Linked DNA regions of Mus musculus. The protein of the gene in region 1 interacts with the protein of each later gene in a pairwise test. Links are inferred from orthologs where the notes say so. Each region holds a gene or a part of one and is shown on either strand. Other genes may lie near its edges.

What was found.
Region 2: the proteins of Myog (region 1) and Polr2c interact in a two-hybrid assay, tested with the Homo sapiens proteins (2 studies listed by BioGRID and IntAct). The link is inferred for Mus musculus from reciprocal best matches to the Homo sapiens genes MYOG and POLR2C.
Region 3: the proteins of Myog (region 1) and Cluap1 interact in binary tests that used the Homo sapiens proteins (3 or more experiments, as listed by UniProt). The two-hybrid records come from large-scale screens. The link is inferred for Mus musculus from reciprocal best matches to the Homo sapiens genes MYOG and CLUAP1.
Region 4: the proteins of Myog (region 1) and H2ap interact in binary tests that used the Homo sapiens proteins (3 or more experiments, as listed by UniProt). The two-hybrid records come from large-scale screens. The link is inferred for Mus musculus from reciprocal best matches to the Homo sapiens genes MYOG and H2AP.
Region 5: the proteins of Myog (region 1) and Ftl1 interact in binary tests that used the Homo sapiens proteins (3 or more experiments, as listed by UniProt). The two-hybrid records come from large-scale screens. The link is inferred for Mus musculus from reciprocal best matches to the Homo sapiens genes MYOG and FTL.
Region 6: the proteins of Myog (region 1) and Eif4e2 interact in binary tests that used the Homo sapiens proteins (3 or more experiments, as listed by UniProt). The two-hybrid records come from large-scale screens. The link is inferred for Mus musculus from reciprocal best matches to the Homo sapiens genes MYOG and EIF4E2.
Region 7: the proteins of Myog (region 1) and Txndc9 interact in binary tests that used the Homo sapiens proteins (3 or more experiments, as listed by UniProt). The two-hybrid records come from large-scale screens. The link is inferred for Mus musculus from reciprocal best matches to the Homo sapiens genes MYOG and TXNDC9.

Annotation. Positions count from the first base shown.
Region 1 is NC_000067.6:134,288,575-134,292,803, reverse strand, and holds Myog (myogenin), read right to left. Parts: upstream 2,801-4,229; 5' UTR 2,749-2,800; coding exon 2,278-2,748; intron 1,712-2,277; coding exon 1,630-1,711; intron 1,131-1,629; coding exon 1,009-1,130; 3' UTR 256-1,008; downstream 1-255. UniProt on the Homo sapiens protein: Acts as a transcriptional activator that promotes transcription of muscle-specific target genes and plays a role in muscle differentiation, cell cycle exit and muscle atrophy.
Region 2 is NC_000074.6:94,856,006-94,860,249, forward strand, and holds the start of Polr2c (DNA-directed RNA polymerase II subunit RPB3), read left to right. Parts: upstream 1-1,444; 5' UTR 1,445-1,550; coding exon 1,551-1,636; intron 1,637-1,741; coding exon 1,742-1,791; intron 1,792-4,238; coding exon 4,239-4,244. UniProt on the Homo sapiens protein: Core component of RNA polymerase II (Pol II), a DNA-dependent RNA polymerase which synthesizes mRNA precursors and many functional non-coding RNAs using the four ribonucleoside triphosphates as substrates.
Region 3 is NC_000082.6:3,907,705-3,911,808, reverse strand, and holds the start of Cluap1 (clusterin-associated protein 1), read right to left. Parts: upstream 2,801-4,104; 5' UTR 2,678-2,800; coding exon 2,656-2,677; exon of another isoform or gene 2,309-2,655; coding exon of another isoform or gene 2,284-2,308; intron 883-2,283; exon of another isoform or gene 535-882; intron 359-534; coding exon 247-358; intron 1-246. Other genes in the region: 1700037C18Rik (uncharacterized protein C16orf90 homolog), read left to right, coding at 3,356-3,359. UniProt on the Homo sapiens protein: Required for cilia biogenesis. Appears to function within the multiple intraflagellar transport complex B (IFT-B). Key regulator of hedgehog signaling.
Region 4 is NC_000086.7:9,845,596-9,848,000, reverse strand, and holds H2ap (huntingtin-interacting protein M), read right to left. Parts: upstream 1,055-2,405; 5' UTR 971-1,054; coding exon 617-970; 3' UTR 501-616; downstream 1-500.
Region 5 is NC_000073.6:45,457,444-45,461,275, forward strand, and holds Ftl1 (ferritin light chain 1), read right to left. Parts: upstream 2,444-3,832; 5' UTR 2,189-2,443; coding exon 2,087-2,188; intron 1,788-2,086; coding exon 1,641-1,787; intron 1,218-1,640; coding exon 1,092-1,217; intron 841-1,091; coding exon 664-840; 3' UTR 501-663; downstream 1-500.
Region 6 is NC_000067.6:87,212,558-87,216,713, forward strand, and holds the start of Eif4e2 (eukaryotic translation initiation factor 4E type 2), read left to right. Parts: upstream 1-1,356; 5' UTR 1,357-1,442; coding exon 1,443-1,462; exon of another isoform or gene 1,463-1,933; coding exon of another isoform or gene 1,934-1,938; intron 1,939-4,156. UniProt on the Homo sapiens protein: Recognizes and binds the 7-methylguanosine-containing mRNA cap during an early step in the initiation. Acts as a repressor of translation initiation.
Region 7 is NC_000067.6:37,994,409-37,998,596, forward strand, and holds the start of Txndc9 (thioredoxin domain-containing protein 9), read right to left. Parts: upstream 2,801-4,188; 5' UTR 2,701-2,800; exon of another isoform or gene 2,485-2,700; intron 1,434-2,484; 5' UTR 1,414-1,433; coding exon 1,225-1,413; intron 1-1,224. Other genes in the region: Eif5b (eukaryotic translation initiation factor 5B), read left to right, coding at 3,882-3,916. UniProt on the Homo sapiens protein: Significantly diminishes the chaperonin TCP1 complex ATPase activity, thus negatively impacts protein folding, including that of actin or tubulin.

The DNA.
Region 1 (4,229 bases):
TGGAACTGTGAATGACGTCTGACTGAAAGTACAACAAACAGAGTATTTTACAGGCCTGCCTCTGTGGGCCCAGGGTTTCTAAGGAATCCGGTCTTTCCCCCAAGCTGTGCGGCACTTGGCTCCTGCGTCTAACAACCAGCTCAGGACTCCAGCTCCACTCACATGATCCACACCCCCCCACTCCCATTTGGACCTCCAAGGGAAAGGTGCAGAGTTTTGGTGGCTCCCCTCTTGATAATATCATTGCAGATGCTCTGATAGCAACCAGTCTTTATTCATTTTTTAAAAAAGGAAATCCAAATAAGTTAGCAAAAGAATTACAAAAGAAAAAAAATTGGCAAAACCACACAATGCTTAGTTAACAAAAGAAGTCACCCCAAGAGCCCCCACCCCCTTCCCTGCCTGTTCCCGGTATCATCAGCACAGGAGACCTTGGTCAGACGGCAGCTTTACAAACAACACACAAAACAATAAACAATACACAAAGCACTGGAAGGTTCCCAAGATCCACTGCAAATGCTTGGCCCCCAGAGGCTTTGGAACCGGATAGCTCCTCCCCCTTCTCTCTCAACTCAGGGCAGGCCCAGCCCAGCCACTGGCTTCAGGAAGAGACTAGAACAGATGTGCACACTTGTCCAGGTCAGGGCACTCATGTCTCTCAAACGGTTTCATTTTGGGGGTGGGGGGTGGAATTCGAGGCATATTATGATAAACAAAAAAGAAGCTCCTGAGTTTGCCCCACTGAGGGACATTAACAAGGGGGCTCTCTGGACTCCATCTTTCTCTCCTCAGAAGAGGATGCTCTCTGCTTTAAGGAGTCAGCTAAATTCCCTCGCTGGGCTGGGTGTTAGCCTTATGTGAATGGGGAGTGGGGAGTCTGGCTTGTGGCAGCCCAGGGCTGTTTTCTGGACATCAGGACAGCCCCACTTAAAAGCCCCCTGCTACAGAAGTGATGGCTTTTGACACCAACTTGGGGGCTCACATGCACACCCAGCCTGACAGACAATCTCAGTTGGGCATGGTTTCGTCTGGGAAGGCAACAGACATATCCTCCACCGTGATGCTGTCCACGATGGACGTAAGGGAGTGCAGATTGTGGGCGTCTGTAGGGTCAGCCGCGAGCAAATGATCTGCAAGAAAAAGTGGGAGAATGTTTCCTGGGCAACTGGTATGGGACCCTTGACACAGATTTTCCAGGACAAAATGGGTAAGGAAGACTCAGGAGTGTTCCCCGCCCCCAGGACACTAGTACTCCCCATGCTGTGTGTGTGCTTGTGGGGTTTTAAAAGTGGCTATCCCTAGGTGAAGCCAGGATATCCTAGGGCACAGGGCACAGTTTTACAACACTGACTGAGTGATCCCCAGGGACCCCTGGGGCAGGAGCAGGCTCTTCTCTCTGAGGTCAGAGACCAGCAGGGAAGTTGCTGGAGGCTCTGACTACTCTTTAGCTGGTCAAGGCTACCGGGAGGCACAGGGTCTCCAGCCCACCATTTGGGGCCCTCAGGTCAGCAAGTTCCTAGAAAAGCTGCTGAAGGGTGATTGGGACAGGGCTTATGGTAAGGGTACAAGCCCAGCCTAGGTAGGGACTAAGGGATTTGAGCCATGTTACCAGGGTCAGGATTCACTTACCTCCTGGGTTGGGACCGAACTCCAGTGCATTGCCCCACTCCGGACTGCAGGAGGCGCTGTGGGAGTTGCATTCACTGGGCACCTGCATGCAAGACAAGGCCAAGGTCCAAGGTCAAGTCTACTGCCAGTCTCAGGTATTTCTCTCTGCCTGGGTTACAGGGTCAGTTGCCTACCCTAGAATGTTACCATAGACATCCTACTTCTAGGTCTTTCCTAGCTTCTAGGATGAGAACTTTGCTTTCATTTCGGCGGTGAGGGTGATAAACCACAGTATTTTGTTACGGTGGCTCCTGAGCAGGCCTGTGGGCATTCTAATGTGTTTCGTCAGGTCAAAAATGAAGGCTGTGGACTTGGGACAAAGCAGGTTTCTTAGGCCACTTTTCCCTCATTTTCACCTAGGCTCACCAAAGCCCTTACTGCAGGCTTGTTTCCGGGCCCCTTCTGTTCTCCTGTGCCAGTCCACCCTACCCCATCTGTATTTTGGAAACAGTATGAGCCCAGAAGGCCACTGGACAGTCTAGCCGACAAGGAAAGGGGTCCAGGGATCCCAAGGGCCCTGCTTTGCACCTGTTCTAGCTCTGGTGGCCCGGGGCTGACCAGGCACCTCCCTCTGGCCCTATCCCTGGATCTGGTGTACTAGCCACTTACCATGGGCTGGGGCCCGCCCCCGCCTCTGTAGCGGAGATCGCGCTCCTCCTGGTTGAGGGAGCTGAGCAAGGCCTGTAGGCGCTCAATGTACTGGATGGCGCTGCGCAGGATCTCCACTTTAGGCAGCCGCTGGTTGGGGTTGAGCAGGGTGCTCCTCTTCAGGGCCTCGAAGGCCTCATTCACTTTCTTGAGCCTGCGCTTCTCCCTCAGTGTGGCTGCCCTCCTCCGGTCCACCGACACAGACTTCCTCTTACACACCTTACATGCCCACGGCAGGCACTGGCCTGGACAATGCTCAGGGGTCCCCAGTCCCTTTTCTTCCAGGGGCCCTCGGGCTTCCGGGCTTAAGCTGAGCTCAGTCCGCTCATAGCCCGGGGGCTCGAAGCCCTGAAGGTGGACAGGAAGGTAGTTTTCCCCATCATAGAAGTGGGGCTCCTGGTAGAAATAGGGGGATGTCTCATACAGCTCCATCAGGTCGGAAAAGGCTTGTTCCTGCCACTGGCCCCCAAGCTCCCGCAGCCCCTCACACCAACTGCTGGGTGCCATTTAAACCCTCCCTGCTGGCATGAACCCAGAGATAAATATAGCCAACGCCACAGAAACCTGAGCCCCCCTCTAAGCTGTTGCTGCACATCAAGACGTTTCCAGTGGATTACATGTGATTCCCCTTCCCTCTCCTTTTGCCCCCACCCCACCCTGCAGGCCTGCCCCTGGCCCAGGCGGCTCCTGTGCACGGGTCGGGAGGCCGTCGGCTGTAATTTGATTAGTTTTCATTTCTCCACAGCCCCTGTGGGGCAGGGAAGGTGGGGGTGGGTGCATTCCCCCGTCTCATCTGCTCCTTTCAATTACTCCTACCCGGGCCTCCTGCCTACTCTCTCCTCCATGGTCCAAGGCAGCTGGTGGACAGGGCAGGAAGGGAACAAGAAAGGGGTTGTCTTGGACGGACGGGAAGGGGTCTTGAAAATCCACTTAGCCTTCTCTTTCCTGCTCAGCAGCACCTTAAACCATACTATGTCAGTCCCATGAGACCCCTAAAGACCTACCACTACCACATCAGGACCACTCCAGATTTGGGGCGTGTGTGTGTGTGTGTGTGTGTGTGTGTGTGTGTGTGTGTCCCTATCGTCCATGGAGGCAAAGACAGAAACCCAGAAGGGCAAATGGATTCAACTTTTGGGTTTCTACAGCTTCTTTGACCAGGTCTCATGATGTTGGGGGTAGATTGAAGTAAGAGAACACAGGGACTTCTTAAGTAAGGGGGGGGGCCTTAAGTAGTAGGGGTCAGGTGAAGTCAGTGTTTAGCAAGGATTAGAACTCACAGACTACTCTACATTGCCTTCTTCTCCCCTAGTCAAGAGCTGTTCAGTCCCCTGTCTGACGCTCTTTTTTAAATTATTTTTTATTAGATATTTTCTTCATTTACATTTCAAATGCTATCCCAAAAGTTCCCTATACCCCCCCTCCCCCCGCCCTGCTCCCCTACCCACTCATTCCCACTTCTTGGCCCTGGCGTTCCCCTGTACTGGGGCATATAGTTTGCAATACCAAGGGGCCTCTCTTCCCAATGATGGCCGACTAGGCCATCTTCTGCTACATATGCAGCTAGAGACATGAGCTCTGGGGGTACTGGTTAGTTCATATTGTTGTTCCACCTATAGGGTTGCAGACCCCTTCAGTTCCTTGGGTACTTTCTCTAGCTCCTCCATTGGGGGCCCTGTGTTCCATCCAATAGCTGACTGTGAGCATCCACTTCTGTATTTGCCAGGCACTGGCATAGCCTCACAAGAGGCAGCTATATCAGGGTTCTTTCAGCAAAATCTTGCTGGCATATGTAATAGTGTCTGTGTTTGGTGGCTGATTATGGGATGGACCCTGTCTGATGCTCTTAATCATCTCTTCTGTGCTTTCCCCTCAATAATGCCTTCTGGCACTAGAACCGTTTTGACTCTTTC
Region 2 (4,244 bases), on another chromosome or scaffold:
GGTGGCTCAGTGGGTAAGAGCACTTGCAGTCAGGCCTGGCATCCTTCCACACACGTGATGTATTGGTACCATTACATACATACACATATAAAATAGAAATACATTTAAAAAAAAATTTTAAAAAAAGCCAGGCGTGGTGGCACACACCTTTAATCCCAGCACTTGGGAGGCAGAGGCAGAGGCAGGCGGATTTCTGAGTTCGAGGCCAGCCTGGTCTACAAAGTGAGTTCCAGGACAGCCAGAGCTATACAGAGAAACCCTGTCTTGAAAAACAAAAACAAAAACAAACAAACAAAAAAACATGGGTTTTGTTTTTCTTGTGTATGCATTACAGTACTCTCTCTGACATTAGCTCGGATGTGGGTCTCTTGTTTGCTTCTTTGTGTGTTATCTAACTGTCCTGAGAGCATCCAGGGGATTCTTCTCTCCATCTTCCTACTCACAGGAGCCTAAGATTAGACTCTTGCATTACCATGCCTCTTTACAGGTGTTCTGAGAATTTGACCTTGTGTCCTTGCACATCAGGGTTTGGCTTCGCACCCTGGAACAAGTGACTGAGGTGCATATTTTACCCGTCAAAGCAGACCTGGCCTCCAGGTTCTCCCAGCATCCTTCAGTCCCCACCTGGCATGCTCTGCCTCCACCCTGAACTTTCCAGCCCAGAGGCTGGGCTGCCCTTCCCCAAGAGGTTCTTCCCTATAGAATCCAGACATTTTGCTCTTGCTCTCTGGATCGATCTATCTCCCTCCCCCTGCCCCAGGCCCTTTCTCTTCTCCCTCTCTGCCCTTCCCATGGCGGTTCCCCGGCCTCTGTTCTTAAGGCCAGTGAACTCACCTGAGAGCAGCTTCCCAATAAACCTGCCTTTTAATATATTCTAATCTGTCTTGAATTGGCTCATTTTACCAGCAGAGAAATAACCTATCAGTCGTCTTGCATGCTTGAGTCACCTCCCTAGCCATTTTGTTCATGTATAGATGTACAACTTTTTAATGGTTTTTTTTAAGGTTTCATTGTATTCCTATGTATTTTAAAAATTATTTTTATGTATAAGGATGTTTTGCTTGCATGTATATTTGTGCACCATGTGAATACCTGGTGCCCTCAGATACCAGGAGAGAGTTTCCTCAGAAACTGAAGCTAAAGATGTTAGGCATCATATGGGTGCTGGGAATACAATCCAAGTCTTACATAAGAACAGCCAGTGCTCTTATCCCCAATGCCGTATCTCCAGCCCCGTATGTAAGTTTAACCAAGTCTCTATCGATCATTGCCTAATGCGTTATTTTTAGCAGTTATAAATAACGTTGGCATGAATGACCCTGTACATTTAATTTTTGTGCTGTATATCTTGGGGATTTCAAGAGTATAGGACCAATGCATTTTGGCGCCGGTGTGGTTAGAAAACACAGGCCAGGAGAGTTCCGGCCTCCGGTCAGCAGGTGGCGCTGCGCCCGCGACTAGCCGGAAGCGCCGATTGCCCCGCCGACAAACTGCTGGTGGCCGCGCAGGCGCGCTGTGCGGCTGGCGCGGGAGCCTGGCGGAGGGTCGCGATGCCGTACGCCAACCAGCCAACAGTGCGGATCACGGAACTCACCGAAGAGAACGTCAAGTTCATTATCGAGAACACGGACCTGGCGTAAGGCGGCGAGGGGAGAGGCGGGCGGGCGGCCGGGTCCTCGAGCTCCTGACCCCGGGGCTGTGGCTTCGGGGCCGCTCACACCGCCTGTCTTTCCTCCTGTAGGGTGGCCAATTCCATTCGGAGGGTCTTCATCGCAGAGGTGCCCATAATAGGTAAGCGACCGTCCCTGGGAGCCCGTGCCGCCCACCCTCCGCCCGGGGTGGGGGCTGAGAACACTGCGGTGCTGTACGCTGGGCTGGGGCAGCCTAGGCCCGCCTTGGTGCGTGCCTTGCTCAGCTGCGGGTTTCCCAGTACTGTTCGTCTACCCCAAAGCAACAGAAATCAAAACCAAGCACTGTTAAACAGCGGAGGGCTGCAGCCTCCTCATCCGGGCGGTGTAGATGCTAGGCGTCGTTAGCAGGTGATGCAGCGATTGCCGAAGTAGTGTAGATGATGCGCTTTTGCTTTGACGTCAGTGTTCGCTACTGGCTGGTGTCTTTTGAACATATATGCTGATTTTACAAAATCATGGGCTTCGTTATGTAGTTTGAAATCTACACACACAGAGTGTACCTGGTCTCTCCCATCCTTCCAGATAGTACCCTGCTATACTTTCTTGTCGTCTCCCCCTATCTTTTTGAAAACCTTTATTTACATATATGTGTCTATCTCTGGGCTCGAGTACCGGAGTTCATGTGTAGAGGTCAGAGTACAGCTTGTAGGAGGGATTCTCTTCTCCCACCATATGGGGCCCAGGATTGAACTCCTTAAGGCTTGACAACAAAAAGTATCTTGCACATCTTGCAGGCTCCGAACTTTCTCTTTATTAAAGAGAGAAAGAGAAAAAGAGAGAGATTCCACATGAGAGAAAGCATGTGTTATAAAGATTTTCTAATTTTGTTTGTTTGTTTGTTTTTCAAGACAGGGTTTCTCTGTGTAGCCCTGGCTGTCCTGGAACTCACTTTGTAGACCAGGCTGGCCTGGAACTCAGAAATCTGCCTGCCTCTGCCTCTGCCTCCCAAGAGCTGGGATTAAAGGCGTGCACCACCACTGCCCGGCTTAAGATTTTCTTTAACAAACAACATACTTTTGTTCCTTATTGTTGAAGTGTGTGTGTGTGTGTGTGTGTGTGTGTGAGAGAGAGACAGACAGACAGACAGACTTCGGTTTTTTGTTTTTTTAAATCCATCCTGGTGTCTTTTTAAAAATGAATTTCTTATTTCTGCTGCATATGTAAATCATGTACGTTTTCAGTTAGAGACAAGACATGAGCAAACATAACAAGGCAAAATATGACACCTTCAGGAGAATCTGACCAGTTTTATCGTTTGTTTGTTTGTTTGTTTTGAGAGAGGAAGGAGGCCAAAAGGGAGTGGAGCGTTTGTAAACATGGACACTCGAGGTTTTCTGAGATGGGGAATTCCCACCAGGGGTCGGGGAATGGGAATGGTGGAAGTAGATTAAGGGCATTCAATGGGCCCCAGAAGTAAATCATCAGGAAGCTTGGTCCTTGCTTGAGTTGAGGAAGCACTGCGGTGAAGGGCAGGTTGGGCCTATCCTCAGCTGGTCTTCCGGCCTCTTCCTGGCCTACATCAGCTCCTTGAGAACTGGGTTTCCAACACCACTGATTTCTGAACATTATTGTTTACATGCAGGTGTTTGCTGATGGGTGACTAGACACATGCTTAAGTGCAGCATCTGTATGCTACAGCCCCATTTGCCCAGCAGTGCCTGGGGGGGGATTGGGTTCTATTGTTAGTGGGCTTTCCCTGGTGAAGCTGTCCAGTGAACATCTACTGATGAGAGGAACACTGAAATTCCAAGTGGGCTATCTGGTTATATCACAAACGAGGTGTGGGCCCTGAAACTTGGGATGTTTTGCTGTTGTGATGTTTTCCCTGACTTTTAAGTTTTTAAAATTGTGTCTCTGTGTGTGGGTGTTTACCAGTGAATGCAGGGGCTGGAGGTGGCCAGGGGTCTCAGATGCCCCTGGAGTTGGAGTTACAGGGGTTGTGAGCTGCCTGACATGGGTGCCAGGAACCTCAGAACTGCGGAGCCATCCCTCCAGCCCATGGTGTCCAGATAGCTTTCGTTCTTGGGTTTGGGATTGGCACAGGTAGCAGATTTAAAGTAATCCTTAGATAAGTATTCAACTCCTTAAATATCCCAAAAAGCTCTAAGAGAGAGTATGTGCATGCATGTGTGGTGTATCACTAGCAAGGCCCATCCCCCACTGGGGCAGGAAGGTGTTATGTATGGCGTGTGGGATGCCTGAACCTGGAGCCATCACTTTGAAGTCACTTTGAGCCTCTTGCAGCCTGGTCAGGACACCTTCAACTTTGTAAGCTGAATTGATGCTTGCTTGCTTGCTTGCTTGCTTTTTTTTTTTTTTTTTTTTTTTTAATTTTTGTTTTTGTTTGGTTGGGTTTTGTTTGTTTGTTTTGTTTTTTGAGACAATGTTTCTCTGTGTAGCCCTGGCTGTCCTGGAACTCACTTTGTAGACCAGGCGCTGGCTCTGCTCCCTGAGCGCCGGGCAGAGTGGAGACAGTGCTGCTGCAGGTCTGTAGATGTGTCTGGTGACTAGTCCTCACTTACCCTGTTTTGTTGCTGCCTTTTCCAGCCATCG
Region 3 (4,104 bases), on another chromosome or scaffold:
AAAATGAAAGAGACAGGGTCTCTCACTACGCAGCCCTGGCTTTCCTGGAACTTGTTATGTAGGCCAGGCTGACCTTGAACTAACAGACATCTACTTGCACCATCGTGCGTGGCAGCTCTTTATAAGTTACAGCTAAGTCCATCCTATGCAAACCTCACTGTAGCCTTCCTTTGCATTAGAAGTTCCAGTTAGCTACTGAATGAAACCAACTATCCACACCAAGGTGTGAATAAAATGCATTCTAACCTTTTCACAAGCCACAGAAGCACTTCAGAGACAAGCCCAAAGTTGGGTGTGCGGAAATTCTCCATAGAAATATGGCGTGGGTACCCCAAGGCTCTCATCATCTCGGTGAAATCTGTGCAATATAAAACACAGTTCAGTCAGTCCTTGTCAAATAGCATCTCCTTTTGGAAAACAGTTAATCTAATGCTTTCCTTTCTTATCAGGTCTTCTCAACTCCAGGTGCTGAATTCATCAATTCTAGAATGGGGAAAGGAAAGGGGAGATTTGAAACAATATCTAATCCATCACCTGAAAAACACCCAAGTTCAACGATAGTAGATTTCCTTTGGAGAAATGGGGCGTAGGTATTAGCTGGGGCTTTAATTTCTCTCTGGTAGCTGCCTCTTTGCTATCCAAAATAAAAATTACCTAGCCTCATAAAACATGAGAAAAACACGTTGTTAGAACAAGATTATACATTGTTTTTTTTCCTCCAGTGACCATATATGATTTTCATGACATAAATTTTAAAGATCAATTACTTTATAGTCAGAGAAAATTTAATAAGAGAATGGCTGAACTATCTGCAGTATTTAGATTTACTGTAAAAAAAAAGATTAGTAAACAAGCTGGGCGTGGTGGTGCACGCCTTTAATCCCAGCACTTGGGAGGCAGAGGCAGGCGGATTTCTGAGTTCGAGGCCAGCCTGGTCTACAGAGTGAGGTCCAGGCCAGCCAGGGCTACACAGAGAAACCCTGTCTCGAAAAACCAAAGATTAGTAAACAGTAATATTTTAAGTTGGGAGCAACTAAAACAAAGCCACACTGCTTGAAAGAAAGGAGAAAACAATGATGAAGAAAGCGAGGCTTACAGATGAGCAACCAAGCCTGGCGTGGTGCTGCATACCTTTAATCCCAGTGCTCATAGGCAGAGGCAGATGGACCTCTGTGAACCTGATGCTAACCTGGTCTATGAAACAAGTTCTAGGTCATCCAGGGCTGTTGTTCAAGACAGGAAAAAACCTTGTCTTGAAAAACAAGTAAAAGAGAGCAAGAAAGCAAGAAAACAACCAACATTTCTGAGTTCTTACAATATGCTGAGATCTTGACCATGGTTCCTGGCAATGTAATGTCTACTCATGCTTACGGGTATTCAAAATGTACATTCAGCATTCCAAACAATCTATCTGGGCAACAAAGCAGGGCAGGCAGACTCTGCTAGGTCACGAAGAGATGGTAGAAAGATAGGAAGCATCCTTCCCTTATTTCTTTCCCTTATATCACACACACACATATATCCCATATATGTATACCCTTTATATTGCAGCTTTTCCTTATACCTCTATGAAAAAAGTCAGGTTTTGCCTAAACACTCCTTTTAGCTAAGTAGTAGCTATCAAGTTCTCCACTGTTATAAATGGTGACAGTCTCATAGATTACACACTATACAGCATTTATTTAAGGTAAAAAAATATAAATCAGTATAAATTCTGAAATACTCCTTTTAAATATTCTTTCCAGTACAATGATCACTATTCAATGATCCCAGTAAAGTGCCAGCCTCATCAAAAACTACGTGGGACAGTCATAATTACACTGTTTCAAATACCCTCAAACCCTAGACAACACGACCCTAATAGCTGCTACTCTTCTGTAAGTGAAGTAAGATTTTTTAGGTCACACAGTCCCATCACTCTAGCTGTGTGAACCAGGGGTAGCTATACTACTTAACTTGCAGTTAAAACTAGGAACAATAAGGGTGAAATATAATCACCTGCCACAAAAAGGATGTTTCCCCCAAAGAGTATAACGAGTAAGAGTAGTCTGCTTCCCCACTCTCTAGCCAAGTTCTCTGCCCAGTATTTGGCATTCAGGCAAGCTGGATTCAAACTCTAAAGCAACTCGTTCAATTACTTTGACCTCTTGCTGCCTGTTTCATCTCTAACCAGGGCACAAACCTGCTAGGAGTAAATGAAATATTGCCCACATAGAGGACAGCATGTGACAGATTGTAACATACAAACAAACAAAACAAACCCTCAAAAATGAACAAAACAACCTAGCAGCACTAGCCATCCATTCATCCGGCCACTTCCTCGGCTTTACTGGTTCTTTCTACAAACTAAATGCAGAAGAAGTCTCCATTTCCGCAAGACCTTTCTAATGCGGCTGCAAATGTGGCCGTGACAACCAGAGATAAAATGAGGTGAAATTAAACATTCAGTTCTTCAGCGGCTCGAGACACATTCCCAGTGTTCTAGCTACACGTGGCCAGTGACGGACCGAACTTTCCAAAGGTGCTGTAAAGTTCTGTCAGCCCCTGGCTGGCCCAGGGACCCACGGCCTGCCTGGGCCCACGGCTCTGGCAGGGGTCCGGCAGGGGAGTCTCGAGATCCTGGGAAGCCCACGGGAAAGCCGGGTGCAGCCTTACTGCGGAGGTCGCGGAAAGACATGGCGCTCTGGTCCCCAAGAGTCCACTGGGGCGCCGCTGCCCGTCTCTGTAGAGTTCGCAGGCCCAGCGCTCTCCGGTCTCTATAGCAACGCTCAGAGGCCTTGGACAGCGTGCGGACCAGGCCAAACAGGACAGGAAGCGAAGAGGGGTGGTGAGCGCAAGCGCAGGACACAGACCAACAGGTGGCGCCAAGCACCTTGCGAGCTGCGCAACGTCATAGTCTTTCAGAGAGCGCTTTTGGCTCTGGTCCCGTTGGAACTCTCATTACCTCACTGATATATGGAGCACATTATAACCTTTTGTGACCGAGTCTCCTTTGTATTTGTAAAAGCATAGCTAAACCCCGCAGTCGAAGCCTCATAAAGTATCCACAGAATGACAGGAACGAAGATACCCTACCCTGGGCAGAATTCGAGACCTGTACCCGGAAGGCTTTTGTGCACGCACAGCTAGTCAGTATTCCCGACAAGCCGGAAATTGGCGCCCAGACTCGCGCGCCAGAGGTTGCCCTGGAAACTGTGGAGCGAGGTAGTGCTGGTGTACCACGCCTAGGGTGTCAGGGTCAGCACAGGCTCTACAGAGAACTCTCCTTGGTGACTGCTACGAGTCGAGGACAACCGCGACAAAAGCAGGGCTGGAGAGAGGAGAGCTGTGCCAGGAAGGGTGGGCGATAAGGAAAATGGGTAGGTGCAAGAAGTAAAGGTGCCCTTGGCTAGAACACGGTGGTACTGACCAAGAGTAGATACTTAAGGACAAAAATATGTGGGGTAGGGCCATACATTCGTGGCTAGTCTAACATGGGGGACAATGCATTTGAACAGTCTTTGCAACAAATGGTTTTGAAACAATGAGCAATCCATAGCAAATTAATATCTATGTAAAAAACAATGGTTCATACACCTAGATGTAAAACCTAGAACTAAATTTTCTATAATGAAACAGAGTTGTGGTGGAGTTAAGATTCTAAAGAACCTGTAGTTTTATATTTCTACCAGCAGAATAATTGTTCCAGTTTGTCAGAATGCACAGGAAAAAAATTGGCATTATCTACATACTGCTTAACCTATGAGAAAATGGATAATTAGACAAGTGTCACCCAGAACCATCTTCTCAGCATGATTCAGATCTCTACAGGTTTGTTCTCCAAATCCTCGTTCTCCCTGCCACAAATGAGGAAGCCTAGCGAATGACTTTCCAGCATACCAAAGCCAATTTGTCTTATGTGGCTTGCTCTGAATCTAACATCAACAAATTTACCCTAGGTTTCTGGTCTCTTCCCTTGCCCGCCTCCCTCCTTGCCCCTGACATACCATACTCTCCCAAACTAGGAGGTCCAGGAAGACTAGTCTTTACTGTGACATCATAAGGACCAGTTGCTATGGGAGACCTGCAGATCCACCCCCTAGACAGGGGAGAGCAGGCCCTACT
Region 4 (2,405 bases), on another chromosome or scaffold:
ATTTTACCTCTTCTAAAGTGGATGCTTCCTTCTGGCTTCACCATCACACCATCATCAACTGAATGCTCTGTCCCTTATGCCCACTCATGTGGCTCATGCTGACTGTCTGTACCCCTTCACCGATACCCATTTCCTTCTCCTCTGAGACCTTCCCTCCCATGAAAGAAGACTTCCATGCAAATTTTCTGCTCATCAGTAGTTTCTTCTAAGTTACCATACTGAAAATATAACTTGCCAATGAGGTTACAGCCAACTTCTGATCTTCTCTGAGGCTTCTTTTGTACTCAGAGCCAACAAGGGAGCCTTCTCTGCCCTCCCCTCCACCCAATTTCTCCCACCAGGGTCACTACCCAAGCCACCCCCCACCCCTGAGAAGTGCTCCCTTAATTCAAACAAGCACTCCTTAAGCATAACCTCCATCTTCCATTCTTTCTTTAGTATCTTGTGGATAACCTCCAACCCAGGAGAAACAAATGAAAAAAGTCAGAACAATTAGCTTTCATTTAAACATTTTATTAGTAGTCATGGACACCAGGGGAGCCTCCTCTGCTATTAGCCTTCATGGTTCTAGCTGAGTCTGTGAGGCTTTCCACCCTTGGGTTGTGTACCCCATTCTTTAGCCATTCCTTCTGGGTCCAGGCATCTCGTCAAACAGAGAGAAAGGCGCATTCTTGAAGCCTCGAGAGGGTTCGCGGTCGTTGTCTCTCTGTCTCTCTCTATCTTGTGAGATATTTTGCTGGTTGTTGATGTTGGCTTCGGAGCCCACCACCTCCAGGATGTAGTCGGTGAGGTAATCAAGCATGGCAAGAAGGAAATCTGAAGTTGTGGACCCTATGCAGGGGGTATATTGCTCCTCCTGCAGTATACGGTACACATAATTCACAGGAACCTGTACCTCAGGCCTAGAAGAAGGATCTTCTATCTGGTTGTTGTCGCTGCAAGGCTTTTCTTGGCTCTTCTTCTCCGACATGATGGTTTGATGGATTGGGCTCCGGTAAGCTCTGCCTGGTTCACCAGCAGGACTGGCTCTCTGAAGACACTGTTCAGTCAGGCCCATTGCACCCCCAGCTTCTGCACCTCATTGGTCAGGAGCTACCTTTATGACATCTTAGGCTTTGAGATGTCATTGGTGCCTGGTGGGTTATGGGTTCTGACTAGGCCTCAGAGCCTAGAAATATCTATCACAGCAATGTGGCCACCCTACCTCGATTTTGAGGAAACTGTAGCTCTCCTCAGTTTACACTTGAATTAACATTGTAGAAATAATGTTTTACTGGAAACTGTATGTCGTCACAACCATTCTTTCAGTAATTATGGGGCAGTAATAAGCATGTCAAATACATTTCCAGGTAGAGGTTTGACTGTCCTCTTCAAGCAGTGTTGAGACCCATTTTGATTCAATTTACTTATTTAAATCGGCTTGGTTAACAATCCTGTACACCTTTGAACATGTATTCATTCAGTATCTACATGAGTTGTATCTGATCTTCAAAATATCTATTTTTTTGAAGAGGAAATGCTCAGTGTGCTTCTGGTACATAGATGTTGGTATCTGTACTTTGTGTGCCATTTGAGTCAGGATGTAGCTTTCTTGGATTAGTTGGGTTAAAGCCAAGCCCTAGTATAGATATTTAATTTCAATTTTTCTTTCTATTAATATCTTGTTTCTGCTTTTTGGTTGTATTTTAGTTCACTTGTACCCAATAACTTTCCTATTCCAAGAGAAAGAAAGTATAATGAATCTTCAATCTAGTTAAATGTTAAAACCCAACTATGTAAAACTTTATTGGATATCAGGGCAGAATAATAACCTCATGAGATGTGAGACCATTTACCCTGGCTCTATTGATTCCATGGTCTTATCTATAGCCAGATCTCTTCCCTCTAGACTCGCCAATAGTTTCTTTGAATCATGTATCCTTTGAGTGATGGTAACACAAGGTTATGAGTGAGTAATCTTATACACTGTTGTTCTTCACAAAGTTTAAGAATCCCACAGACTTTTGTCATTTCATCTTCTGTCACCTTTGATCTAATCTGACATTATTTCTGCTGATATAGCATTTCCCAAAGCTTATAGATCTATATAACTCATTTCATCAAACATTTGATTTTTTTCATGGGTCCTTAATTGTAAAGGATAGTCATGCTTCATCCACAGACCCAGAGAGGCTTAAGTAACAAGGAGAGCTCTAGGGGTAAAGCCTGGATCTCCCTGGGAAGGGGTGATAGAATAGATTATGTGGGTATACTGGAGGTGGGTAGTGAAGGAACAGGAGAGACCAGTTTGGGGAGGAAGCAATGGAGGGAGAGAGTACAGGGAGAGACTACTGGAACTTGGGGGTAGGCTTGAGGGTCAATGTGGAAACCTAGAGCAGCGGAAACTTCTTGAAACTTATATGAGA
Region 5 (3,832 bases), on another chromosome or scaffold:
TGTTTTAACCAGTGTGAGCTGACACAGCAGTATTGTCCGGTGTTCCACCCCCCACCCCACCAACTTCCCATGTTTCTAACCCCTTTGCAATGGTTTAGTTCCCATTTGGGCAATGGTCCCAAGTTTCACATCCTCTTTTTGATGGGCCCAGCATCTAGTTCGGAATCCAGCAAGACACCCTGGCTCCCCACCCTCGCTCAGCCAGCACCCAGGGCTCAGCTTGCTCACCTCCTGGCCTTCTACTTGTATGTTTAACTCATTTCTGAACTTGGATGTTTAAGCCTTTTCACTTCCCTGCACAGTAACATAAACCAAGGACTGGCAAACTGCTACAGGCTACAGACTCCTACGACCTGGATTTGCCACATGAAAAGGCAGATACTACCACACAGAGATCGCTGTAAGTTATCACATGTGGGTTCCCACAAAAAACAGGAGTACATACAGCCAACCTCTTCTTTCTCGTGCACCCCTCCCACATATATAGAAAAAACACCAGCTGCTGTCTCAAAAAGCTTTATTTTTACTTGGTCCAAGACTTGACAGAGGCTCCAGGGCGGTTACAAAGCTGCCTAGTGGCTTGAGAGGTTCATTCAGGTGGAGGTCCCAGGGCGGGCTGGTGCAGAGCAGAGGGGGGAGCCCCTTGGAAGGTACAGAGGCCTCCTAGTCGTGCTTGAGAGTGAGGCGCTCAAAGAGATACTCGCCCAGAGACCCCTGGGGCGCGCCAGTCTGCGCTGGTTGTGGCCCCGCCACCCTGCGGAGGTTGGTCAGATGGTTGCCCATCTTCTTGATGAGTTTCACCTCCTTATCCAGATAGTGGCTTTCCAGGAAGTCACAGAGCTGTAAAGGAAGGAAGAGACATCAGACACCGAGTTCTAAGAGACAGGTGTGAGCAGGAAGCTTTAAAAAAAAAAAATCCTGCCCTCAAGGGCAGGTAGGTAGGTAGGTAGGTGTGTCCTCAGTACTGTGTGTGGTGCTTCTGCAATCTGCACTCGGGAGGCAGGAGGATTAAATTATTGGGAGCTGAAAGCCAACACACAACAGTCTAGGTTTTGTCAGAGAAGGGAAGAAATGATTAGCAAGGTACTTACATGAGGGTCCGCGCGGGCAGAACCCAGGGCATGCAGATCCAAGAGGGCCTGATTCAGGTTCTTCTCCATGGCCAAGGCAGCTTCCATGGCCTCCTGGGTTTTACCCCATTCATCTTGAGATGGCTTCTGCACACAAGAATATCAAGCCTAGATTACATCCTTCACCCAGCCAATATAAAACTGACTGCACAGGAAAAGTGGGCACAGTGGGGAAAAATAATGGGATACTGTCTTTAATCCCACCACTGAGAGACTGGGCGAGAAGACAGGAGGATCTCTTGATAGGAGGCAACCTGGTCTACATTGTGATTTCCATGCTAGCTAGAGAGACACCGCCTCTCCCCAGCCCAGCAGTCCTCATCTGTATTCTGTAATTACCCCCATTTTCCAGTTTCTGACATCCTGGTGGGTTTAGTTGCTCTACATACTCCTATTGTCTACACTAGTCCTGCCACCACTCCCTTCCAAGACGTCTATCCGGATGCCCAAACTATGGGGATGGCAAGTAAACGCACATGCTCGGTAGTGCCCAATACCCCCGCTTCTTACCTGCACATCCTGGAAGAGTGCACGGCCCCCGCGATCGTTCTGAAACTCGAGGAGACGCTCCGCGCCCTCGCGCTTCTCCTCGGCCAATTCGCGGAAGAAGTGGCCTACGCCCTCCAGAGCCACGTCATCCCGATCAAAAAAGAAGCCCTGCGGGAGGTTACAAATACGAGTTAACGGAACGCGGTGGCTCGGCTCACACTGTAAACTTCAATCGCAACACTCAAGAGGTAGAGGCAGTACGTGTGAGATTTCGAGGGCAGCCCGGTCTGCCCAGCGAGTTCCAGTCAGACAAAACTACTATGTACACAGCGCGCAGGGAGAGGGAGAGGTCGGAGCACAGTCTCTGCCCTGCATGGAACAAAGAAGGCCCGCGCATGCGCAGGAGGGTGGGTGTGATGGACCCCCCCCCCCCCCCCCCGTTCAGAAGGCAACCCCGAGCTGCTCACCAGAGAGAGGTAGGTGTAGGAGGCCCGCAGGTGCAAGTTGACCAGGCGGTTCACGGCAGCTTCCACCTCGGTGGAATAATTCTGACGAATCTGAGAGGTCATGGCTGATCCGGAGTAGGAGCTAACCGCGAAGAGACGGTGCAGACTGGTCCTAGGAGCTGAAGGCAGCGAGGAGATGGTCCCGGAGGCTGCGACTGGAGAGACTTGTAAAGGCGGCTGGAAGCGAGTACAGTGGGAATCCCCGGGTCTGTTCCGTTCAAACACTGTTGAAGCAAGACACAGATCCACGGGACCTCCAAGGCGCTGCTCTAAGTCCCGGGCAAGGAGCGCTCCTTTTATAGCATGTTGACCCTCCGGAGGGAGGGGTGCCCCAGGCCCGAGACTAACCAATCGGCGGTGGCGTGAGGCGGAGACGGAAAAGTATACTTGACCAATCCGGAGCTGAGGGGAACCTCGCTCCCCACCCACCCAGTCCCATGAGATGAAGTCACGGGACTGGAGCGCGAGGCCTTGTGAAATGGAGGCTTGGGGGAGGGGCGGTGGTCCGGATCCGGAGGCGCAACCTGGAGGGGTCGCAGGGTTCTGGGCTCCGGGTCACTGAGACCCTGGGGAGGGGATGACTTCGAGGTCCTTTTCTGGGTGTCTCACAAAAGAGAATTTTGGGGCCTGAGAACATGGATCTGGGGATGGGCTGAGTGTGGGGTAATGTCTGTAAATGCAAAGGGAACCTCCATATGTCCAATTGCACACAATGAAGGGATATGTCACGTCATGAGGAAGTCTGGTATTCCAAAGATTCTAGAGATCTCCTTGAGGGAATGGAAGGGATGCCCAGAAGTATAGGGTTTTAGGTTCACCATAGGAACTAAGATTGTTTGCTTGTTTTTCTGTTTTCTGTAACCCAGGAGGTCGTGAAGCCCTTTGAGGGCTTGGAGTGGGCAGAGAGCCTTGGGTTACCGTGTGTGCACCTCCCTCGGGTGCTCTGGAAGGTGACATGTGGAGGCCCAGACAGGACTTTGGAGTTCTGGTCAGCCTGTCTGTCTGGGTCTGTGTCAGTGAACCTGTCTTTCTAGAAACAGACACGCATGATGGCGCTTGGAGAATTGCTGGGCTCCTTCCTGGAGTTTGGTCCAGAAGCCTCCTTGCAGGTTGCTCTTTTGGAATCAAAAGGCCCGAGAGTTAGGGAGAGCAAGAACTCAGGACCCAGAAACAGACAGTCAGTCTTACGCAGAACAGTTGGGGCATGCAAGGCCCAACTGGACTTTTGAGGACAGGACGGGCTCATACCAGGGTCTAATCTCAGAAGCCTGGGAAGAGAGCAAAGGGAAACGAGCCCAATCATGAAAAGGGGCTAAAGGAAGAAACAGTAAGATGGGTCAAGGGAGCCACGCGGAGCAGGAAGAATGTGCTGCTGAGGCCCTTAGTGGAAGGGGTAGCAAGGCCAGTTCTGCTGAGTCACGCTGAGCTCAGCTAGGCAGTGGGGCGGGCGGCAGGCCACACCCGGGCTGACAGCCAGAAGTCCCCCGGCTAAGGGGCTTGTGGTCTGTTTTCCCTGTGTGGTCAGGCAGCTGTACGGCTCTGGAGTGGCTAGCCTACACGTATCTTTCTCCTGACTTGACGTCTGCGGTGGTCTGTTGATTTGGGGGTCAGAGTTACTCATTAACCACAGTGCTCCAGAACCTGACCTCTGGCCTTCAACCCGACAGGCCTGGACAAGGCTGTAAAGGTGGAAAAAGATAAAACCCG
Region 6 (4,156 bases), about 47 Mb from region 1:
CCCATTCGTCTAATGTAATACTTCCTCCCACCCCCACTGATCACAAAGGATTTCTTGAGTTTTACTATCTCCCCCCCCCCCATTGTTAGAAATTCTTCACAGTATGGATAGTCAAGAGGCACTGTTCAAAATAAAATAAAATAAAATAAAATAAAAAACAAACAAAGCCAGGCAGTGGTGGCACACGCCTTTAATCCCAGCACTTGGGAGGCAGAGGCAGGTGAATTTCTGAGTTCGAGGCCAGCCTGGTCTACAGAGTGAGTTCCAGGACAGCCAGGGCTACACAGAGAAACCGTGTCTCGGAAAAAAAAAAAAAAGGCCCTGTTCACCTGACCCACATTTCACATGAGCAAGCTGGGGTCCAGAGTAAGAGGAACTCTCTAGAACACTCCTTTATAGGGTTCAAATTTCCATCTCTGATCCAATCTCAGACACTGTAAGAAAGACTCCTAGCCCTGCAAATTCCTTTCGTCCTCTCTCTTCTCAAAAGCCAGAGTACTTGCAAGGCTAGGCCCAAAGCCACTGGGCTGGGTGTGACAGGAGAGCTTCCTCAGCCTCCCTTACATGCCAGGCAATAGGATGATCCCCTGAGGTCTTCCTGAGGAGAAAAAGCGTGACCTTGCTGAGTGACCAGGGGACAACCACGGGCCAGTCCTGGGACACTTTCCTCACCTGTAAATACAGGCACGAACATCAATTTCTACCCCTCCTCTCTGGTGATTAAAAATAAACATCTAACAATGTAATATGTTCAGCAGATGGGTCAGGAAAATGCGTGCCTCATAGCTCTGGAGTTACATCACCAACTAGGGAATTTATTCCTGTGTATGTGATGTGGTTTTGGACAGTCCTTAGGAGTGTGGGGACAATGACTTCAGTTGAGGAGGCAATGATGAGTGAGACCATCTCGGTCCTCAGTAAGTTTGTCACCCTGGTTCGACTCCCCCCACCCCCCACTTCACCCAATATATAGGGAAGGTCTTAATGTATCCCAGGCTGTCCTCGAACTCACTATGTTGGTTAGGCAGGTCTGGATCTTCCTGCTGCCATTTCCCAAGAGCCAGAATTGCAAGTTTGTTTGTAGTGCTCTCTCGTCCTCTCCAAACACCAAGAGCAAAGGATCAACTGCCAGAGAATACCATTTACTAAAGGTTACTATGCCTGACATTTTCCCCCTGGAATCCACGGGGAGGTTAAAGTGGATGGCCGGCAGCCTGCGTAGACAATGCTCAGTGCAAGCAGCCACACCAAGACAGCCCCGGTCGGAACAAGCGCTGTCGTCCCGGGCCACCCGTCCGGGAAAGAGGCCCCGCCCAAGGCCTGAGCACTGACGTTCCGCTGAGCGCCTCGCCAGCCAACCGGAAGTAGCCGGGCCCTTAGCGATGGGACCCGGTAGAGCGGAAGTCACTCCGTGAGGCAGTGGCGACAGCGGCGGCAAGAGGATGAACAACAAGTTCGACGCGTGAGTGGCGCGTGGCCGACCCCGGGGCCCCTTCCCCCAACCGTCCCCCGGGACCGCTCCCGCCGGGGCCGGGCGCGCCCTCAGCCGAGCCGCTCGCTCCCGGGCCGCCGCAGCCCGAGCCTTCCTGCGCCCGCGGGCCCGACGGGGCCGGGAGAGCGCGGCCGAGGTCGCCGGGACCCCTGAGCCGCTGGACCCCGGCGCGGCACGGGCCGGGGGAGGGGAGGCCGCGCCGCCCGGAAGGAGATTTTCGGACGCCCCGCCCTGGTGGGTGCGGGCTGCCGGCGGCGTGGAGGGGCGGGACCTCAGCGCTTCGGGTGTTTCCGCAGCCTTGCTGCCTTCTCTCTGAACGCGGCTTCCCTCCCGCACTCGCTCGGCGTCCTGGGAAGGTCACCTCTCCCTTCCGAGCCTCGATTTTGTCTTCTGCAAGCGGGGACGGTAACAGAGCCCGTGTCGTAGAGTTGGGCAGCTGCGATGAGGTAATGGGGCAGCCGCGCTGAGTACTGTGGCCTCTCGAGTACGGAATGCTTTTCATCTGAGATTCTTCCTGCTTCCTCCCCGACCACCACCCTCCCTTCATCCCCCACCCCGTCCCTGTCTTTCAACTCTTAGTGGCTGCCCACCCCTGCATTCATCTCCAATTCCCGCAGCGAACAGTTGGGAAGTACAGAGAAGAAATATGTGTTGGGGTGGGGGATGGGGGGGTGAGAACATTCCCCTCCTAACGATTAAATCTTTTAGCATTTAAAAGTAATTTTCGTTTTCATCTAGCCCCACTTAAGTTAGTGTTTCACAAGAATTGTATCCCTGGGTAGATTGCAGTGCTCCCTCCTCTCTATGGTTTGTAGTGATCAAATCTGGTTTATCATTCAAAGGCCTACATTTTTAGTTTTAAGCCCACCAGCTGTTTGACAGTACAAAAGTCCTCCAGTCTGAGCCATCGATCTCACCTCTGTAGTGGTTAGGACCGGAAGGACCACATCACGCTCTGCAATACTTAGAGGTACTGTGTAAAATGCTGAGCATGAGCTGTGAAGGGAAAGTGGACTCACTGATAGGTGGTGAAGCTGCAGGTTTTCAATACAGTGAGTTCAGAGGTGCAGACTCAGGAAGTACTGGGATGGGGATTCCAGTTGTACAGCCAGCTCTTCCTTAGGTTTTCATGGTGGCTGAGTGAGCTCTGCTTCTTGAGAAAAGACCTGATGTCTTCTCCACCTTGCTTATTAGCAGAGTCCAGCAGGATAGAGATCCATTGGTCTCCTGTCATAGGCCCTGCAATACCTAGCTTCATACCTGCAGCCCTTCCTCCCTTCTTCTCCTATTGGAACAAATCAAACTGCATCCTAAGAAGATAGTTTTTAGGTTGCCTGTCTTGAATAAGGATGGTTATGTTGGCCACTGTCGTCGTCACTGTTCTGTTGCTGTTGAAGAGATGCCATGACCAGGCAACTGTTTTTTTGTTGTTGTTGTTTTTGGGGGGTGGGGGTGGGGTCTGAGACAGGGTTTCTCTGTGTAGCCCTGGCTGTCCTGGAACTCACTCTGTAGACCAGGCTGGCCTTGAACTCAGAGAAATCCGCCTGCCTCTGCCTCCCGAGTGCTGGGATTAAAGGTGTGTGTCACCACTGCCCGGCCGGGCAACTCTTATGACAAGTTTTTTCTTTTTCTTTTTTACTTATTTATTTAACTAACAAGGCCACACACCTCCTAATCCTTCCTAGCAGTTCTGCTCCCTGGTGACTAAGCATTCAAATATATGAGCCTATGGTGGTCATTCTTAGTCTAGCCACTGCAGCCACCCAGAGGCATCCCTGTGGATTTGTTTCCTAACTTTTTAGGTTAGCATAGAAAGTAGCAGGTTCTATTAGGACACCTTCATACTCAGGCCATTACTTTGTTCTCCTTCTTCCCTGCCCCCACTGGACTCGCTGTGGTCCCTCTCTAGCTCGCTTTTTTTCTTCTAGCTGTCCCCCAAGTCCCTATTGCATGTATTATATTCCTCTCTATTTCCCACTAGCTTCTTCCTAATAACTCTGCAAAAGAGATCTTGGCATGTTTTCTGATAGTTAAGGAAAATGAGGCTTTTCAAGGTTAAGTAACTAGTGCAAGATAGCCTAAAGGGCCAGCTCAGGCTCACTCTTCTACTTTGTTCAAGTGTCTTTATCAACATTTGCTGGGTGGTTTAATTGTTTATAACTATGAGCTGTTGTAAAGAGTAGGGTCTTTTAATGCCCTCTTCCTCCTTCTTCTTCTTTTTTTCAATTATTTATTTTGTATATGAGACACTGTCACTGTCCTCAGACATACCAGAAGAGGCCATTAGATCTCATTACACATGGTTGTGAGCTACCATGTGATTGCTCACATTGAACTTAGGACTTGGAAGAGCGGTTAGTACTTTTAACTGTTGAGTTATCTCTTCAACCCCACCTGTCTTCTAACTTTGCAATAAAGGACAAAAATAAAAGCTTGCTTTTATTTGAAATTAGCAATTAAAATGGTACCCTTGTCCCTGGTTTTGGTTTTGTCATTTCAGATTTTCTTGTGAAAACCCTGCAGTTTGTAGAATGTTGCTCCTTATTTGGAGTCTGTACTCTTTATAACATCTCCCCAGAATTTTCCAGAATCATTCTCAAAGCGTAGTCTCCAGTGAGTGCAGTAGTATGATCTGATGGACACAGATTAAAGAGGCCCTCTAAC
Region 7 (4,188 bases), about 96 Mb from region 1:
ACCAATTTAACTTTCACATGCATGCTCTTTAAACTAGTAAAATCAGGATTGTTTGATCCAAATGATTACAAAAGTGTTTTTCTGTTTATTTTGTGATGCGAGGGACTAAACCAGGAAGAGCAGGCTAGGGAAGAGCTCTACACTTTAGAAAATAATGTTCTTACAGACAATTAAGGGATGCTGAGTGTGGGAGAAAGAGTGTTCTCCAGGGAGAGCACACCAACTGGCTATCCACTACCGAACGGTCAGCCTTGAAAATGTACACACAAGCAACATTATACAGACTGAGCATGGTATACTTAGAAACAATGTCCTATCCACAGCAAAAACTAAACAAACCAAACCACCTCAAGAAATAAAGTCCGTCTATCCTGGGGACAGTGCAGTCATCACCGCTCAGGAGCTTAAGAACCTATCCATCTCAAAACAGGGAGGGCTTCTACACCAGCCAACAGTGGGCAGAGTCCTCAGAAGGAAGAGTATTATATCCATGTGGGGTCCAGAGCCAAGGAAAAGCCTCACAAGGAAACGTTCAGCTTCCCAGGCTGAGGAAGGGCCATTACCCACAATCCTGGGAACTCTTCCAGCCCCTTCTACCTTTCCTGTGGCAGAAAGCTTGACACCTCAAACAGATGCTCACTCTCCCTCCTCAGGCAGCAGTGGCAACACCCACCCCAGCATTAACTGACCAGGGTTCTAATGAACCTTCCGAGCCTTCACCTTCTCTCTTGTAAGTCAGTGTGACAAACCAACCACGTCACTGAGTGGCCATGAAAACCACAAACAGAACAGGGGTGCTGGCGCTCAACTCCAGCACTTCGTAGGCAGAAGCGGTGTTGTCTGTGAGTTCTAGGCCAGTCATGGCTATACAGTGAGATCCTGCTCCTGTCCTGCCCCCCCACAAAAGATAACCTAATAAAAATGCAGAGTCTAACACTTAAATATCTTCTCGTACAGAACCATGATACTTCTTTCTGATACGTGGACCCTAAGCTTGGTCTATGAGAAGACGTTTCATCTCTCTTTTACTATCAACGCCCCAGTCAAATGCTTCATCTTGCCTAAACCTTCCCTAATGTTTCATCCCTGGGTTAAGTATTGAACATTGACGGAGATGTGAATTCAGAACATCCTGCAAGTGAGGAGGGAAAGTCACATGACTGCAGTGCAGTCGGGAGCTGGGCTCCAGTGATTCAGTGAGCAGGCGGGCGGGCGGGAGGTTACTTGTTTCTGCTGCTGAGCCTTCCTGAGCGCCGCCAGCCTCTTTTCTTTGAGCAGCTCCAGTTCATCTTCACCAATCTGATCCAGTTTCTGAATTTCAGAGTCCAAGTGATTCTCCACCAGCTTAGCGGCCTGGAGGAACTGGTTCTCCAGGACTTCTGAGAACATGTCGACGGATCCATTACCTTCCATTGTTCTAAGTGGTCTTGGTGCTGGGGGAGGGGGCATAAAAAATAAGTATTAAGTTTACATTTCGGGGGCTTTGTTGTTTTTTTTTTTTTTTTTAAAACAGGGTCTCTGTAACAGAGCCTGAGAGGTTAACACAACAGATGCCATGTTGGAGGCACTATTTTGGCCTTAGAACTCAGCATGTAGGCCCCAACACCTGCCAAAACCAGAATAAAGATGTAAACCATCAAAGATCTCATTTATGGTTCCAGAATCCAGGGAAATCCCTAAATACACTAGCTTGCTTTTCGGCATACTTCCTCAAAAATATCCTGACATAAACGTTACAAGTCCAGGTGACAGCCCATCGCTTCTACGACTAAAGGCAGGCTCTTGAAGCAGAGAGAAGTAATTACACACACGTCTACTTGTGTCCAACATCTGCTGGAGAACAACATTAATCTGGGAGTAGATTAATTAATGCAACCAAGACAATCCCTACTCTCTGAGCCATGCCCACTGGCCAACCTAATCTACCCAATTTCTCAATGAGTCTTTCTTCCTAGGTGACCGTAGATTATTCTATCAAGTTGACAGCTAAAACTAATCAGCTCACACACAAAATAAGCCTGGGCATGGTGGCTCATGATTACAACCTCAGCTCTCAAGGGCAGAAGCATAAGGGTCACACCTCATATTTGGAGCGATAGGCCTGGGCTACATAAGGTCATTTAAAAACTCCAACTGTCAGCTTCTCATAAATACTATACAACTGAAAAGAAGCTGTACTCCCAGGATCCCTAACTCGGGGAAGAGAGAGAAGGATCCGAGACCAGCCACTCAGAATCTGCATCACAGTATTCGTTTATCACCGAGAATTTCACAGGAGACCTTTACGTTTAAATGCGGAGCTTCACGCGACTAAAAGTGCTGCCCTGAATTAGGCGGAGGTGGTCACTGCCTTTATATTGGGGGTAAGGACATAACTTTCTATTTATTGAACCAAATCGAGTATTATTCTTACCGACGAACTGGGGGCCCTGACACCTATGTACTCCCCTACAAACTCCTAACCGAAACCCTAACCCCATGTACCTGTCAGCAGACTCTTCGCCACTCCCTGAGCTCAAGAGACTGGTGGAGTAGTTCCGGGGGGACCCGATTTCGCACTAACTGGGGCGCATGCGCCGTAGCCTCCGCAGCCGCCCAGACGAGGCCCTCCCAGCCGCTCCCTCGATCCCAGCCGAGGATGTGTCCTTCATCAACACTGGGACGCTGTGGCACTATCGGCCACATCACCCTCAGCCGTACCTGGACTATTGATGAGGCCTACGGAGAGAGGAAGCCGCAGATCAAGAATACCCACCGGGTTCACACAGGTTTCAACCTCGCAGCAATTGTTAAGGGCAGAGAAGGGGCTGTTAACTCCGCCACTTCATTGGCTACAGTCCTCTCGCGATACAATGTGAGACACTCGCGGAAAGGGCGGTGGCGAGTGACGAAAGCCTCGGAGAAGCCCTATCCTCCGCCACCCGGAACTACTGGCTTCCGAGCCTACGCTTCACGTGGGCTAATGGCCGGAGGGATGGGCGCTAGGCACGTTGGGAATTGTAGTTCTTTGTGCACTGACTGCGGGTCCCGGCTCTACCGGGAAACGAGCCGGGTCTTGAGCCTGAGTGACAGAGGGGCTTCATTTCTCGTTGTGTTTAATAGTTTCGAAAGTGTAGCTTACAGTACATTATAATTTATACACAGCTCACACTAGTAACATCGCCCCGAAACATGGAGAAAATTTTCACCATGCCAGGATCTTCCCTCCTGACTTTCTTAGGCACATGAATTTTTAGAACTTGCTCATACGAAGATTCATATTAGGGGACCCGTTGCTGTGTCCTTATGTCTTTTTCCCCTTAATAAATGTACACAGTTGACAATTCATGAGTGTTTCTGAGAGGGATCCCATTTTTTGTCCTGCCACCCCCAGAACGCTCATCATTGACTCTTTGTGGTCCTGTAATGGACTTCCCGCAGCTGAGGCCGCGTAGGCAGGGGAGAATTTTCAGTCCCACTTCTGCGTCGAAAGCCAGCCCCGGGAAGGGTGCCGACGTGAGAAATGAACGGCCTCATTGTCGTCCTCTAGGTTCTAGAACCCGGGATCCGCCGGACGTCGGTGCGCGGCGCTCACTTGCGGCGAGGGGGCGCCTGGGTTCCCACCTGGCCGGCGGCTCTACTGGAGACGCTCTAGCCGAAGCGCCGCTCTCGATGAGCCGCGCCCTGCGTCCCCACGCCGAGGCGGCGGGGCGATGCGCTTGCGTACTGAGGGCTCACACCATATGTGCCCTGTCCCAGTGCGCGGGTCTGTGGAGAGCCGGGTGCGAGAGGCGGCGGCGCGAGGGGGACCGAGCCGAGCGGGCATTGGAGTCAGCCGGGAGACAGTGGGTCTGTGAGACACCGAACCGAGGGGCCGGGGCCGCGAGCGCCGTTGACAAGCGATGGGGAAGAAACAGAAAAACAAGAGCGAAGACAGGTAGGCGGCGGGGCTCGGGCCGGGGGTCCTCCGGGAGTCGCGCGGGGCCCTGGATGGGCGAGCCTCGACGGGGCGCGTCCCGCGGCCGGGGCTCGGGCTGGGGTCCGAGGCGTGGGGCTGAGGGGCTCGGAGGTCGTTTGGGGGTCCGGGCGGTGTGGGGCCGGGCTCGGGCGCTGCTAAGCCAGGCCTACGGCCCAGGTGAGTGCGAGCCGGGCCCGGAGAGCCCGGGTGGGGCGGGCCGGGAACGGCTCCCTCGCCTCCCCTGGCCCTGG